Tamandua tetradactyla: one gene and its partner. The protein of the gene in region 1 interacts with the protein of each later gene in a pairwise test. Links are inferred from orthologs where the notes say so. Each region holds a gene or a part of one and is shown in the gene's direction. Other genes may lie near its edges.

Region 1 (8,203 bases):
TTTCTTTAGTGTTTATATGATTATTTACATTTTTTAAAAATTTTGTGTTAGTCTTGGCAAGTTAGATTTTTCTAGGACTTTATTTTATAGTCTAAAATTTAATATCTATTGGCGCAGAGCTGTGCCCATTTAGTGTCTGAGGCATGTGTAATTGTGTTTTCTGTTTTATTTGTGATAATGACTATTTGTGTGTCCCCCCCCCCCCCTTTTTAATCCATCTTCCCAAGTGGTTTGCCAGTTATATTATCAGTCCTGTTTTGGCTTTGTGATTATCGTCTATTTCTTTGTTTGTGGGTTGTTGTTTTTTTTTTTCATTTATTAAACTTTTTATTTTGAGATAAATATTTACCTGCAGTTGTATAGGTAGATGTATCTTTTAAATAGCATCTGTTGGAATTTTTAAAAAAGCAATTTAAAAATATTTTCTTTTATCTGTAAGTAACACTATTGACAGACAGTTAATGCAACTGCTCTGATTTTGTGCTGTTCTGGCTGTCCTTTATTTCTTTTCTCTTCTTTCTTGCTACTTTTCATATTGATATGATCTTTCGGCATTGTTTTTCCTATCTACTAGTTTAGAAGTTATATACTTTCTTTTCGTGATTGTACTAGAAAGAATACATGTTTGACTTTTCAAAACCTAAAGTTAAGCAATATTTTAACCTTCCTCTCGCACAATACAAGAACCTTAGACCGTTAACTTCATTTAATCCTGTCATGATTTACATGTTATTGTTATCAGTCCTTGTTTACATTTCCCACATTTTTACTACTTTCTCCATTCTTCATTGCTTCTTTAATCTTAGGCATATTTTCCTTCTGCTTAAAGTACATCCTTTGGAATGGCTTTTATTGAAGATCTGATGATGTTAAACTCGGTTTCTATTGACCTGAAAATGTCGTTATATCACTTTCGTTTCTGGAAAATGTTTTTGCTGAGTATGAAAGGTTAGGTTAGCAGTTATTTTCTTTTAACACATTGACGAGAATCACTCCTTTGTCATCTGGCTTGCATTATTCCTATATGAAGTCAGCTATCAGACTGTCAATTCCTTTTTCTCTGGCTGCTTTTAATATTTGTCTTCAACTTCCTGCTGTTTCACTGTGACATCTATTTATCTTGCTTAGGATTGTTAGAATTCTTAAATCTGTAGATAGGAGGTGTTTTAAATGTGTTAATTGATCATTTATAATTTCTGAACTGTGAATTTCCATTTTTACATTCTATTTACCTATGTCTGGGACATATTTTCAGTTTTCACTGAATAAGATTTTTTCCCCCCCAGCATGGGCAGGCACTGGGAATTGAACCCGGGTCTCTGACATGGCAGGCGAGAACTCTGCCACTGTGCCACCATCGCCCACCCTCCCCTAATAAGATTTTGATTAACAGTTAATTGGGGAACTAAATCCCTGGCTAATATTCTGTATAAAGACTTATTACTCTCCTTGGCATGGTAATGTAGACCTTTTTTAAACATTTGATGTACATGCACTCTGAGGCCTAGTCTGGCCAGTGGAGGTACCTGCTTCACTCTGTGGTTATCTCCCATTTCTCTCTGAGTCCATTCTCATGAACATTTGGAGTAGGATATATCTAGCCATGATGGCAATTTAAGAAAACACCTTTCTTCTGGCATGGATCAGATGTCATACTCTCTTTTGTCATATGTAATAATCAAGAGAACCCAAAGGAGGGACTTAAAACATAATTGCACCTAAGAGAAATTAATTTCTTGGATTTTCTTATAAGATGGACAAAACTATGTAACACTATCCTAATTATAAGTACAGTAATGAGTATGATGTAACCATTTCAGTGCAGGATGCTAGTTTAATGCTTTAAGCACAAATTATTAAACCCAGTTTGATGAAAAGTAACCATAATAGTCAATTACTTTACACACAGTAGTTCTAATATAAAAAGTCAAAAGTGCATAATTTTAAGTATAAGAAAATATGTTCTCCAAGGACTCTGTTGACCTTTTACACAGTATAGCAAGAGAGAAAACAAAATTAGATAGGTGTAAGATTATAAACATGTTTGATACACACAAATACTTTTTACAGTCAGATTAGATATTGCAAATATTAAACAATCTTCAAAAAAATGATTATTAGATCCAAAAGAAAGCAAGCCACAGTTAAATGAAAAAGTTTTAATAAATAGGTAGAACTTATTTTATTTTTGTATTTTAAAAATATTTTTATTTTTGGTTATATATAATGTTAAAATTCCCATTTTAACCACTTCAGATGTACAACTCAGTGGCATTAATTTTATTCACAATGTTGTGTTACCATCAGCACCATCCATTACCAAGACCTTTTCATCACCTCCAACCGAAACTCTACCCACTAAGCAGTAACTTCCTATCCTCCCTCACTATTGGTAACCTGTAACAACTGTCTGTATAAATTTGCATGTTCTAGATATTTCATGTGAGTGAAATTATATGTAATTTATCCTTTTGTGTTTGACTTGTTTTACTCAACATGATGTATTCACATGTATCAGAACTTCATTCCTTTTTTATGGCTGAATTATATTCCATTGTGTATATATACCACATTTTGTTGATTCATTCATCTATTGATGGACATTTAGGTTGCTTCCAACTTTTGGCAGTTGTAATAATGCTGCTATAAACATTGGTATGCAAATATTTGAGTCCTTGCTTTAAGTTCTTTTGGATATATACCTAGACATGGGATTGCCAGGTCATATGGTAATTCTATACTGAACTTTCAGAGGTACCACCATAAAATATTGTTAGTTTCTGGCTGCCGCTTTCTTCTCTCAGCGAAGTCATACATGGGAAAAATCAACTCTGTGTAAGTCTAGGTAGTCAGTAAGCAGAGATAGACGGGAGTGGGAATACAGCTTTGCAAAGGAAGATGCTTTCTTCAGTATACTATGTCAGGTTATAAAGACCAACTGCTTCTGTACCTCAGACTGGTTCCAGTCTTAGCAGGAGTCATGCCTGGTCATTCAGAGTCAGCAAGGATGGAGAATGTTATCCTTTCGCCCAAGTCCAGTACTTTCTCCAGTTTCACAGTGGCTGCCATTTTCTTGAAATAGAAGGGGCTAGTGTAGCTCAAACCAGTAAATGAAAGACTAGAGTTGTTTTGCATCAATACTATAACAAGGCACAATTTTCAGCTGTTTACTCTCAGTGGAATGGTCTGGAAGCTCACTAAATTGAATTAATTATATTGCCAGAGAAACTACATGCCTGGTATTAGGGATTGAATTGTGTCCCCCAAAAAAAGATAGGTTCAAGTCCTAATCCCCAGTCTTGTGAATGTGATCCTGTCTGGAAATAGGATCTTTGAAAGATGATACTAGTTAAAATGAGGCCAAACTGGATTAGAATGGGTTCTATTCCAATGTGACTGGATGACTAGGTCTTTATAAGGAAAGGAAGTTTGGACACCATTGGTAGGAAACAGAAAAGAGCCACGTAATGGAGGAGCAGTTATGTTATGGATTTCTGGCAAGTCACCATCAGAACCCTGCAGATATCAGAGGGAGCATGGTCCCACTAACACCTTGATTTGGACTTCTAGATTCCTCAGCAGAGGAAGCATCATGCTCTCCTCCTGAGTCCCCACAATTGGTTAGGGAGCTCCCTTCCCACTACTTGATTAGGGAGCTTTTCTCTCTGTTCATCAGCCATGACCCAGCTTCACCCTGAGAAGTCACACCCTGTACAGGGATCCAGGCATGGTGTCTGACCTCTGTCCTCAGGTTAGCACATTACTCCAGGGCCTGGACTACCTGGCCTCTCAGGCTGGAGTCTCTGGAGCAGGTAGTAATGGGAGAGGGAGAAGGATGGAGGCAGGAAGGGAGGGAGAGGACATGGCCATGGCAATAAAGGCTGGGCAAGTTAGGGGAGGCGGGAGCATCTGGGTAGCAGCACTGGTTTAACCAGGGCGCTGTCTGGGTATAACTTTTTTTTTGTATGCTGGGTGGTGGGGTCATGTTTCATTATTTTTTCCTTCTGAGTATCCCCTTATTGTAGGACCATTTGTTGAATTTTTTTGTTTGTGTTGCTTGCTTGCTTGTTTTTTGGGAAGTGCATGGACCAGAAATCGACCTCGGGTTCCCTCATGGCAGGTGAGAATTCTGCCACTGAACTACACTTGTATCCCTGGGTATAACTCATTTTTAAAAAATAGCATCCCAAATTTCTCTGTCATTGGATATACTAAAAACTCCGTTTGCTACTTTAAATAGACAATAACCTACTTAATTCTTTAAGAACTTTGCTTTGTGTGTTAAGATTTTCCTGTTTTCTATATATACAGCACAATAGCAGTAACCTCTGAAATCTAGGTGGTTTTCCTCTAACAATGCAGATACGATGCAGAAAATGTATCTTGGTTAACTTAGGTTACGTGATTAAAACATAATGTTAATGAGTCCAAAGTAAAGGTGTCCTTAAATTGGACCAAGATGCTTCATCTTGGGGAATGAGGATTCGATTTGGGGGGGGGGGGGAGGGATAAATTTCGTAGTTGTTGGGGCTGCATGACAGTGGAAGGATGGGAACCCAAACCCTATCCCATGTGCTGGTACCAGCATCTCCTGGAGTTAAGGGAAATATTAAAAGACATATTCAATAAGCCTTTTATTTTTGAAAATAAAAAAAACTGAAATAGAGTCATATGAAGCCATGTCGGGCGAGGCTACATCAACGATAATGAAACAGTTTTCTAGGAACGAGTTAGAATAAATTGGGGGTCACCATAGTGAAAAGAACATGGGTTTGGGGTTAGGCCAGGTATTTGGAATCTGGTATCATACCGGGAGCTTGCAGGCAAGATGCTTAAGGAAATTGAAGCTTAGGAATGCTAATTGTCAAATAAAAATCAAATTACCCACCTAGTCAGGTTATCGTGAGACTTAAAAGAAACAAAGGGCCAAAGACACTTTGCTTCCTTCTCAAATCCTATATGAGAGGAGCGTAACTGAAAGTCCAGCCTTGGTTTTCTGCCGCCGCGGAGTCTGCAGGGAGCGTTGCGTACTACCTCTCGTGGAGCGGGGCCGCCTCCTGGCATGTTTACTTTCAAAAGGCACCGCCCGCTGCCTGGGCGTCACACGCGCCGCCCCTCGCTGCAGCCGCTGGCCTTCGCGGAGGCGGAAGGGGGCGGGCTGGCCGCTCTGCACAGGCAGAGCCCGCCCCCCACGCATCATGAGGTAAAGAAAGGAGGGGCTGACCCGGGAGGGGGCCGCCCACTTTGGGGGGTGGGCAATGTGGTCTTTGATAAGAATAGAATCCAGACCCAGCTCCTGCCTCTGTGACTGTTATTTGTGGGACACTCTTAGACACCTGCTACTTGGGGCTGTTTGACCTGACTACAAGCTGACACTTCTATGGAGGTGGCTTGTCTCAACAACACTGAGTAGGAAGGAAATTGGAAGAAATAGAAAGAAGCCATAGAGTTTCCTACCTTAAGGTCAGGGTGTATAGAGTGAAAGCTTTGGTAGGGCAAAGTCTGTCCGTGCTGCTGAGGCCAGGTAATGACCGCAGGTTTTTTAATGGTATTTCAGCGTTTACAAAGCTCCTTTCCTTTCATTACTCATTGAGTCATCAGATAAGTTAAGTGAAACTATGGTAGTAGTGAAACTTGCAGAACTGCTGGAGAAAGAGTGTTACTTATTACCACTTTGTTTTTTGTGTGTTGACAGAATATTTTAGGTCATGTTTTGAAATGAAAAACAGTGACTGCAAATAGGTTTTTTACTTCAAATAATAGTACCTTCATTTTTATATCATTTGTGTATGATTATCATGACTTTGAAACACATTTAAACTTGTATACATGGCAAAACACATGGAGTTTTAAATTTCTGAGAAAACATTCTGTAGATTTTTTTGTTTGTTTTTTTACTAGGGATGCTTGGCTTTATAGGTCTCTGTATTATTATTTTCATTCATGGGAAATACTATTCCTATTTCTTCCTCTACTTTTTCTTCAAAATGAAAATAGCTTTATTCCCCCAGATTATATTTATGCCTACTTAAAATTTCACATCATACGTAAAGTTGTAAAAAAAAAAAAAAAAAGCAGAAATTATCTACAGTTCCCCCACCCCAAGATAACTTTGTTGAATATCTACTGTGGTACTAGAAGCTCTTCTGGACTTGGGGAATGGTGAACAAGACAAACACAACATCGGTTCTCTGGCCCCTGCTTTCTGGTGGGGAATACAGACACGCACACCAACAGACACACACCTTCTAAAAAAGTAAATTGACAAAAATAATTGTCAATTTTAAAGACTGCTTTAGAAGAAACACCTGGGAGCATTGCGTGAGGTCACCAGCTTCTAGTTCCACAGCCAGCCAGGTCAGCAGGCATGAGAAAGTACAGTGTTGGACTTAAAGCAAAGACCCTGCACCCTGGAAAGAAGAAGCATGACAATCCCTAGCCAGGGCCTTCTCTCAGTGAATATGGTGAGACTGGAGCTGTTGCTTGACTCCAGCTCTGGGTGGTCCTGCCCATTGTTATCATCGTCTTCTTCTAGGGTTTGATCCACCAGTACGAATCCATTCTTCTGCAGAGTGACAAGAAACTTACCAAGAAGCAAGTGTCTGATAGTCAAGTCCTAATTCGAAGATGAGTCCTCAGGGAAAATGGAAAATACATTTACAAACAGTCCTTACACAAAAATGTTACTTCAACAATCCAGAGGATGTATTTTTCAAAAAAATTAAAAGGAAGATAGTGCCACCTTCTCCTATGACTGATTCTACTATGCTCACAGACACAGTGAAAGGGAATGTAACCAATGTTATCCCTATGATTCTTATTGCTGGGTAGATCAATATGACATTCTCAGGTTTTGTCTCAACCAAGGTACCATTTCCACTAATCCTCCATTTTGAGCCTATGCTACAGCAAGGAATCAAACTACTCATATTAGATATACCCTGGGTGAGTTCTGCATCCTGGTACTTTTCAATGTATTTGTCCTTCTGAGCATTTACTCTGTGATAATGGGCCAAGGTAATGCCACTGACCAGTCACAGATGATGCATGAAACAGTCATGCTTGCTGACCGTAACAAAGTTTTCAAGACACAGTGGAAGCTTTGGAGCTGACAGATAATCCGTGGGTACTGGATGATGTCGAAGAGGAGCTCATGGCCAAAGACTTCCACTTTGAAGGCATGTTCAAAAAGGAATAACAGACCTGTATTATTATTTTTTTTAAACAAAGCAGGAATTAGCCTTACCAGGAACTCAGAATAGAGTTAACCTTGTAATTTTTGTTTGGGCTGGGTGCCCTCACAATAAAAGGAAGGATGCATGAGCTGGCCTCCGGCAGCAAGTATCATTCTTGTCTGAGTTGGATTCCCCTTTAATGTTTGAAGCTAGTGGAAAGAGCTATTTAAAAAACATTTTAAAGTTTCCTTCTTATGACTCTGGTAATGAAAGTCAGGGAAAGGAAGGAAACGCAAGCTAGTGATAATATATGAAAACTTAGCAAAGATTAAATCTTTGGAGAAAGCGTTGTCAAGTCTAATTATTTTGTGTGGTCATCCTGACTTCTAGCCACAGTAAACTCCTATTTTCTTGGGATACAAGCACCCTGCATTTATACTTTTAATTTTTTATGTTGGTATTTTTGAACTTCCTGTAGAAAAGAAGTATATTTTCTACTACCAAACATTTGGTATTGGAGAAAGAGCATTCCAGTCAGAAATAATGGTGTGTACTAAGCCCTTAGCACAGGAAAGACCTTGAAATTGAAAGATCAGTGTATCTGGAACTTTGGCAGTAAGTCTGGGAAAGGTGGAGCAAGATGAAGTGTAGGAGATAAGCAGGGGACCAGCTTATACATGTCTCGAAGGAGTGTGGATTATATTGTAAAGTGCAACAACAAGCTACTGAATTTTTTTTTAATTATTTTATCTATATTACATATTCACATACCAAATAATCATCCAGAGTGTACAATCAGTGGTTCACAGTATCATATAGCTATGCATTCATCATCACAATAGATTTTTGAATGTTTTATTACTCAAAAAAAATAAAAATAAAAGTAAAAGAACACCCAGCGCATCCACACCCCCATGCCCCCCCTATTGTTTATTTGTTTTTTATCTTTTTTTTTTTCTTATTCTTATGTCCGTACACTGGATAAAGGGAGTATCAGTCACAAGGTTTTCAGAACCACACAGACACAT
Region 2 (7,987 bases), on another chromosome or scaffold:
ACCGCAATGTAGCACAGCCTAAGCAGCTCAGCATTCCTCATCTCAGCACTCGCAGCTCAGCTCAGGCCTTTGGAGATGCAGAAAGAAATCACCCCGGGGAAAGTTGCTGGAACACAGAGGCCTGGAGAGAAGGTCAGCAGAGATCACCCTGTGCCTTCTCACATAAGAAAGAACCTCAGTGGAAAGTTAGCTGCCTTTCCTCTGAAGAACTAACAAAATAAATCCCCTTTTATTAAAAGCCAATCCATTTCTGGTGTGTTGCATTCTGGCAGCTAGCAAACTAGAACAGGATAACCTCTCAACTCTGTTTGAAATCTCTTAGTCACTGAAACTTTATTTTGTCTCATTTCTCTCTTCCCCCTTTTGGACAAGAAGGTTTTCTCAATCCCTTCATGAGAAAACCCTCCCTCATCCCTGGGAGTCATGTCCCACATTGGCAGGGAGATTTACACCCCTGGGAGTCATGTTCCACATGAGGGGGACGACAATGAGTTCACCTGCTGAGTTGACTGAGGAGGGAGTGGCCACATCTGAGCAACAAAGAGGTTCTCTGTGGGTGACTCAGGCATAATTATAAGTAATCTGAGCATCTCCTTTGCAAGAATAAGTTTCTTAGGGGTGAGCCCCAAGATCAAGGGCTCAGCCTATTGAATGGGTTCTCCCCACTGCTTATGAGAATATCAGGAACTCCCCATATGGAGTTGAATATTTCCTCTTTTCTCCCTAGTCCCCCATGGGGACTTTACAAATACTTTTTTATTCTCTGCCCAAATTACTCTGGGATGTATCAGGGCATCACACTAACCTGTACAAACCAACAAGATCTCACACCCCATTCAAGATTCCTTATAATTATGGTGTTTGAATAAATGAACCATACAAGTTAAATTAGATAATGCACCACCAAAAATATAAATTTTGCACCAAATAGACATCTCTTTCTTTGGTCATTGGCCTTTTTAAGAGATGAAATATAGAGAGGCTGAGAAAGAAAACCAAACAAGCTGGGAGAGAAGGGCACACAGAAACCATAGGGAAATCACAGAAACAGAGAGAAAGCCACTGAAGACAGAAGCTGGAAGCAATGAAACCAGGAAGAGAAGGAAAAGACCAGGAGACTGTCACCATGTACCTTGCTATGTGACAGAGGAGTCCTAGATCACCAGTAGCCAGTCTATGGGGAGAAAGTATTGCCTGTTGATGCCTTGATTTGGACATTTTTCATGGCCTCAGAACTGTAAACTTATATTACTAAATCTCCATTGTAAAAGCCAGCACACTTTTGGTATATTGCATTTTGTCAGCTTTCGCAAACTAAAACAATGAGTGATCCAGTTTCTCCACATCCTCACCAGTATATAGTGTTGTCACCTTTTTTAAGTCATTCTGATAGGTCTTTTAGTGATATCACATTGCAGTTTTAATTTGCATTTCCCTGATGGCTCCTGATGTTGAGTTTTGTTTAATGTGTTATTTATCATACATATGTCCTGGTCAGTGAAATACCTATTCTTGCCTTTTGTCCATTTTCTAATTAGATTTTATTTTGAGGTTTGAGTGTTCCTTGTATGTTCTATAGTCCTTTGTCAGATATATGATTTGCAAATATTTTCTCCCAGTCTGTAGCTTGTCTTTTCACCTTCTTCACATGGTCTTTTGCAGAGCAAAAGTTTTTAATTTTGATGAGGTTCGATTGAACAGTTTTTCCTTTTGTGGATTGTGGTAGTTAGACTCAGGTGTCAACTTGGCCAGGTGAAGGTACCTAGTTCTATTGCTGTGGACATGAGCCAATGGCATGTGAACCTCAACTGTGGCTGATTACATCTTCAGTCGGCTAGGAGATGTGCCTGCTGCAATGAATGATGTTTGATTTAATTGGCTGTATGCTTAAATGAGAGCTCAAGGTAGCACAGCCCAAGCAGCTCAGCATACCTCATCTCAGCACTCGCAGCTCAGCTCAGGCCTTTGGAGATGCAGAAAGGAATCACTGCGGGGAAAGTTGTTGGAACCCAGAGGCCTGGAGAGAAGGCCAGCAGAGATCATCCTGTGCCTTCCCGTATAAAAAAGAACCTCAGTTGAAAGTTGGCTGCCTTTCCTCTGAAGAACTATATGTTTTTAATGAAATAAATCCCCTTTTATTAAAAGCCAACCCATCTCTGGTGTGTTGCATTCTGGCAGCTAGCAAAATAGAACATGGATTGTGCTTTAAGTCCAAGAACCCTTGGCCTGGCCCTATACACTGAAGATTGCTTATGTTTTTTCAAAAAGTTTTATAATTATGTTTACAATTTAAATTCATGATCCATTTTGTATAAGTTCTGACATTCAAGTTGAGGTTCTTCTCTTTCTCCTTTTTTGCCTATGGATTTCCAATTTCTCCAGCACCATTTGCTGAAAAAACTACCCTTCCTCTGTTAAATTGCCATTTCTGGGTTTACTATTCTATTCCATTGGATCTATTTATTTATCCCTCTGCCAAAACAATACTGCTTGACTCCTGAAGCTATACAGTGAGGCCTTAACATATTACATAGAAGGATTCCTCCCACTTCATTCTTTTTTGTCATGGCCATATGATCCTCACATCGCAGCCTCACTTCTCTGCCCTCATCTCCTCTGACTCATCTCCTCATGCACTGTTCCACCCTTGCTAGTCTCCTGGCCATTCCTAGAACATGCCAGGAATTCTCCTGCCACACTTTGCTCGAGCTGCCCCTCTGCCTGGAATCCTTCTCCCCCATAGTTTAAACTGCTCAAATGTAACCTTTTCAGGGAGTCCTTCTTGACAATTCCATTTAAAATTGTTACCACCTCCACCTAACACTTTCCATGTCCCCACCCTGCTTTACTTGTTTCCACATCAACACCTGATGTCCTATAAAACTATTTATTTGTGCCCCATCTCTCCCCCTTCTTCAAGGATGTTAGCTTCATGAAGCCAGGAAGTCCTGTCTGATTTGTTCACTGCCGAGTCCCCAGCATTTAGAAGAGTGCATACAATAGGTTCTTGATGAATGAACGAGCAACATATAAATATTCTAGTGGAGTGTCTGGTAGGGAGTGAGCACTATGGAATTCATCATCATATAAAAATACCTCATTGAGTCATTTGATAAAGATAAGTTAATTGTTTAGTCAGTACCTTCTGTCCTGGTCTTTCAAAGTGAGAAAAGATTAATGGACATTTTTGTAAATTCCTGGGACATGGCAAAGTAGGGAGAGAGTCCCACAGTCTTTGGAGGTGCCCAGACCTGTGTCTGATCCTGGCTCAGCCACCTGTCAGCTGTGTGACCTGTACCTGCACTGACAGAGCTTGCTGGCAGTGCCCTGGAGTCTGGGGCCCAGGCAGAGCTGGACTGGAAGCCCAACAACTGCCCTTCCTGAATGAGCCCTTGCCCTTTTGCAAGATGGACAGGACTACCTGCAGGGCCCTCCTAGGTGCTGTGCCCCTCTGGGAGGGTAGATGGTGGCTCCCAGCTCTGCCCAGGTAGGGTGAGTGAGCGATGGTCAGTCCTGCTGCTCCGGAGGGGCAGGAGGTGACACAGGGAGCTGACTCAGTCCTGACCCAGCCCGAGGGCCCCCTTCCCAAACCCACTCCTTTCCCCCTTGGGCTATAAACACATGACTCAGAGGAATGAAGGGAGAGAGCCTACAACAGTCACCTAATGCCCTGGGGGCTAAATTTAACCCACAGCTGCAGCCTCTGGCACTTTGGGTACGAGTTAATCTTGGTGGCCCAGGCTGATAGATGTGTAGGAGGCTGGTGTCAGGAGTCCAGGGCAGGGTGGATAGTGGGACTAGCTATTCTAGGCCCCAACACTGACCCCTCAGATGTAGACAGGACTTGGGGGTCCTGAGGCCAGGCCCAGGACTGACCAAGAGCAACGAGCACGGACAGCTCAAGTCTTGGAATATTAAACTTTAGAGAGTTACTTTTTGAACACGAACATCTAGAATGTTAAAACCAAGGGGGGTTAAAAGTCTAGAATATCAGAATTCTGTGGAAATAATTTTTCTAGTGTGTCTCACACCTTAGAATTTTAAGACCCTGAAACAATGTACTCCCAAGAAAACAACCCCAGAGCTTCTGAACCTTAGCTGAACTAAACAGAGACCCTTAGAGCCTAACTCCTCCAGCTCCTCATTGTGTAGGGGAGGAAACTGAGGCTCAATGGAATGACCTGCCCTGCCCCAGACCCTACAGAAAAGTGGCAACCTTGTTTATCTCAGACACCTTCTTGCTTTCTGGCGCAGTGCAAGGAGGGGCTCAGAGCTGGGGCAGAAAGGGTCAAGTTCTTCCCATTTAAAGATGAGGCCACACCTGCCCCCAAAGGGTGAATAGCATACCCAAGTTGACTCAGCAGGAAAAGAAGGCACACTGTACGTATTCCACTCCACAAGGCCCGAGTGGAAGACACTTGAGAGAGGAAGATGGGCATCCCGGGACGGAAGGCCCAGAGGGCAGGAAGGAAGGGAGATCCCTAAAAAGGGCCCTCTATGCTTCCCTTTCCAAGTGCTGAGGATCCCAGCTTGATCCTATGCCCCATTTAGAAATGAGGCAATGAAGCCCTCATCTTTGAGGGGAGAGCCCAGACACCCCACCCACGTCCCATGAGCCCTGGGGCTTGACTCGAGGCTGTTCCGGGAGGGGGGCCTCTGTCCAGCTGTCTCCTCTGCGTCACCTGTGGGATGTCAGAGGACTCGCCTTACAGGGCTGAGGCCACCTCTATATATAGCCTCAGTAGGACAGCTGCACAGACAAAGCGCGCTGCAGCAGGAGGGCAGGAGAGCACTGACTGGAGTCTCACGGCCTGGTCGCCCCACCGTAGGCCACTCACCATGGCTCTGGGCTTGGAGCAGGCCGAAGAGCAGCGATTGTATCAGCAGACGCTCCTGCAGGAGGGGCTCAAGGACATGCTGGACCACGGCAAGTTCCTCGACTGTGTGGTGCGGACAGGTGAGCGCGAGTTCCCCTGCCACCGCTTGGTGCTGGCTGCCTGCAGCCCCTACTTCCGGGCGCGCTTCCTGGCGGAGCCAGAGAGCGCCGGCGAGCTGCGCCTGGAGGAGGTGTCCCCCGACGTGATGGGCCAGGTGCTGCACTACCTGTACACGTCGGAGATTGCGCTGGATGAGGGGAGCGTGCAGGAGTTGTTCGCCGCGGCGCACCGGTTCCAGATCCCGTCCATCTTCACCATCTGCGTGTCGTTCCTGCAGAAGCGCCTGTGCCTCGCCAACTGCCTGGCGGTCTTCCGCCTGGGACTCATGCTGGACTGCGCGCGCCTCGCGGTGGCCGCCCGCGACTTCATCTGCGCACGCTTCACGCTCGTGGCGCGCGACTCCGACTTCCTCGGACTCTCGGCCGACGAGCTGATCGCCATCATCTCCAGCGACGGCCTCAACGTGGAGAAGGAGGAGGCCGTGTTCGAGGCTGTGATGCGGTGGGCGAGCAGCGGCGACGCCGAGGCGCAGGCGGAGCGCCAGCGCTCGCTCCCCACGGTCTTCGAGAGCGTGCGCTGCCGCCTGCTGCCGCGAGCCTTCCTGGAGAGCCGCGTGGAGCGCCACCCGCTGGTGCGCGCCCAGCCCGAGCTGCTGCGGAAGGTGCAGATGGTGAAGGATGCGCACGAGGGCCGCCTCACCGTGCTGCGTAGGAAGAAGAAAGACAAGGAGAAGGAGAAGGACGCCGCCGGGACCAAGGCGGCGGACAAGGGCAAAACCGAGGCTGAGGCCAAAGAGGAGGCCGAGGAGGAGGCTGAACGCGTCCTACCTGGGATCCTCAATGACACCCTGCGCTTTGGCATGTTCCTGCAGGACCTCATCTTCATGATCAGCGAGGAGGGTGCCGCGGCCTACGACCCTGCTGCCAATGAGTGTTACTGGGCTTCCCTCTCCACCCAGATCCCCAAGAACCATGTCAGCCTTGTGACCAAAGAGAACCAGGTCTTCGTGGCGGGGGGCCTCTTCTACAACGAGGACAACAAGGAGGACCCCATGAGCGCTTACTTCCTGCAGGTGCCTGCGCGAGCCCTGGGACGCGGGGGTGGGCAGCCCGTGCCGGCGTCTGTACGAGGGCAGCTTTGGGGGCCAAGAGGGGCCTATGTCTGCTTTTCAGAGAATAATGCTGGTTTTGGGGTGAGAATGAAGACAAGAGGGCCTGGAAGTTGAGGACAGTTGTATGCAAATGATAACGAGCTACGTAACTTTGTTTTTGTTTTCTGTCTTGGGGGAATGGCAGCCCCAGGATGGTCCAGCATTTGGTAGCCCTGGCCCTGCACATGGGTTGGGGTCAAGCATAATGAAAAGGAGAAGCAGCAGGGCCAGTGCAGGGCTCCTGGGAAGGGTCTCCATGCCCAAGAATGGAGCCTGACACAGAGAATGTGCCAGGCAAAGGGACATCCTGTCTAGTCCTCCCATTATACAAATGGGGAACCTAAGGTCCAGGAAGAACCGGTAAAGTGGGGTGCCCAGTTCAAGTTGAGGTGTGATCATGGTATCCCAGACAGCAGGGATAGTTTCCTGGAGACCTGTCCTGTAGGTTTGAGCCTTGCCATCTGGGCAGAATTTGGATACCTGAAGGGGAGAGTGGTAGTATTTCTCAAGGGAAAATGGTATGAGCAAGAGAGAGAGAGATGGGCAGGAATGGGCCTGGCCTGATTAAGCTCACAGGCCTTACGGTGGGACTGGGGTGGGGGTGGAATCCAATCCCAGCTTCATCCAGTACCAGCCAAGCAGCCTGGGCAGATTATTTTTCTGGGCCTCTGTTTGTAAAATGGGGATAATATTCTTCCTGCCTGATGCAGTTGTTTTGAAGTTTAGATGAAATGTTGTTTGTTTGTAATGCGCTCCGAACAGTGCTCGAGGAGCCACTATTAACTGATTATAAAGCTGTTGAGGTGGACAGGGAGGCAAATTTACCCTGAAGATTTTAAGGGGTGAGTGACAGGGCTGTATTTGGAAGTCTCCTAGTCAGAGGAATAGGGTGGAGGATGTACACAAAAGATAGCCTGTGGCGAGCAGGGGGCAGGGAAGACTCAGTTGTCCTGGAATGGTACTGGGGAAGGGTCCCAGCACTCAGCTCAGTGCCACAGCCCCTCTCCTCGGCTATGCCCCGTGGTGTCCCCATCACAGTGCTATAATGGTGTTCTCCCAGCACCTACCCCATCACATACCCTCCCAGGGTTCTCAGCTGCCCTTAGCCTGGAGGGAGGAGGGGCTCTGCCTCCGGAGCCACCTACAGGCTGTGCTGGCACACCCTGGAGGTCCAGACTTCTCTGTGACCCGGGGTGACTGCCCGGGGACGAGCTGGGGCTGGGGGGCTTGGGGGCAGTGGCTAACTTTCTGGCTGGCCCTGCCGGCAGTTTGACCACCTGGATTCAGAGTGGCTGGGGATGCCGCCGCTGCCCTCGCCGCGCTGCCTCTTCGGCCTGGGAGAGGCTCTCAACTCCATCTACGTGGTCGGTGGCCGAGAGCTCAAGGACGGCGAGCGCAGCCTGGACTCGGTCCTGTGCTACGACCGGCTGTGAGCGCGGGCGGGGCGGGCTGGGGGCGGGGCCAGGGCCGGGCTGGGAAGCGGGTCGAGAGGTTGAGGGCGGAGCTAAGAATCCCGGCTGGGAGCCTGGGGAGCCTGGAGACCCGGGACTGGTTGGGGACCGTAGGGTGGCGGCCTGGGGAGTTAGCAGGCAGAGTCTGGGGGCAGAGGCGTGGTTGGGTAGGGGCGGCGCCATGGCCACGGTTGGGGGGCTGGGCCGAGAACTGAGCAGTCCGAGAAGTTCCTGTAAAGCATCTGGTGCACCTGGAATAGGTGTTGGGTGGGTGGGCGGTTGGAGGGAGAGGGACTGAGCGCGCAGCCTGAGCCGGACGCCCGCCCTCCCTCTCGTCCCCTCCAGGTCGTTCAAATGGGGCGAGTCGGACCCGCTGCCTTATTCTGTGTACGGCCACGCGGTGCTCTCCCATCTGGACCTAGTCTACGTCATTGGCGGCAAAGGCAGCG

Evidence for each region. The genes of interacting proteins can lie anywhere in the genome.
Region 2: the proteins of TASOR2 (region 1) and KLHL40 interact in binary tests that used the Homo sapiens proteins (3 or more experiments, as listed by UniProt). The two-hybrid records come from large-scale screens. The link is inferred for Tamandua tetradactyla from reciprocal best matches to the Homo sapiens genes TASOR2 and KLHL40.

Annotation. Positions count from the first base shown.
Region 1 is NC_135333.1:58,365,083-58,373,285, reverse strand, and holds the start of TASOR2 (protein TASOR 2), read left to right. Parts: upstream 1-5,083; 5' UTR 5,084-5,198; coding exon 5,199-5,203; intron 5,204-6,461; exon of another isoform or gene 6,462-7,240; intron 7,241-8,203.
Region 2 is NC_135341.1:44,615,925-44,623,911, reverse strand, and holds the start of KLHL40 (kelch-like protein 40), read left to right. Parts: upstream 1-4,777; 5' UTR 4,778-4,839; coding exon 4,840-6,009; intron 6,010-7,355; coding exon 7,356-7,516; intron 7,517-7,883; coding exon 7,884-7,987. UniProt on the Homo sapiens protein: Substrate-specific adapter of a BCR (BTB-CUL3-RBX1) E3 ubiquitin ligase complex that acts as a key regulator of skeletal muscle development.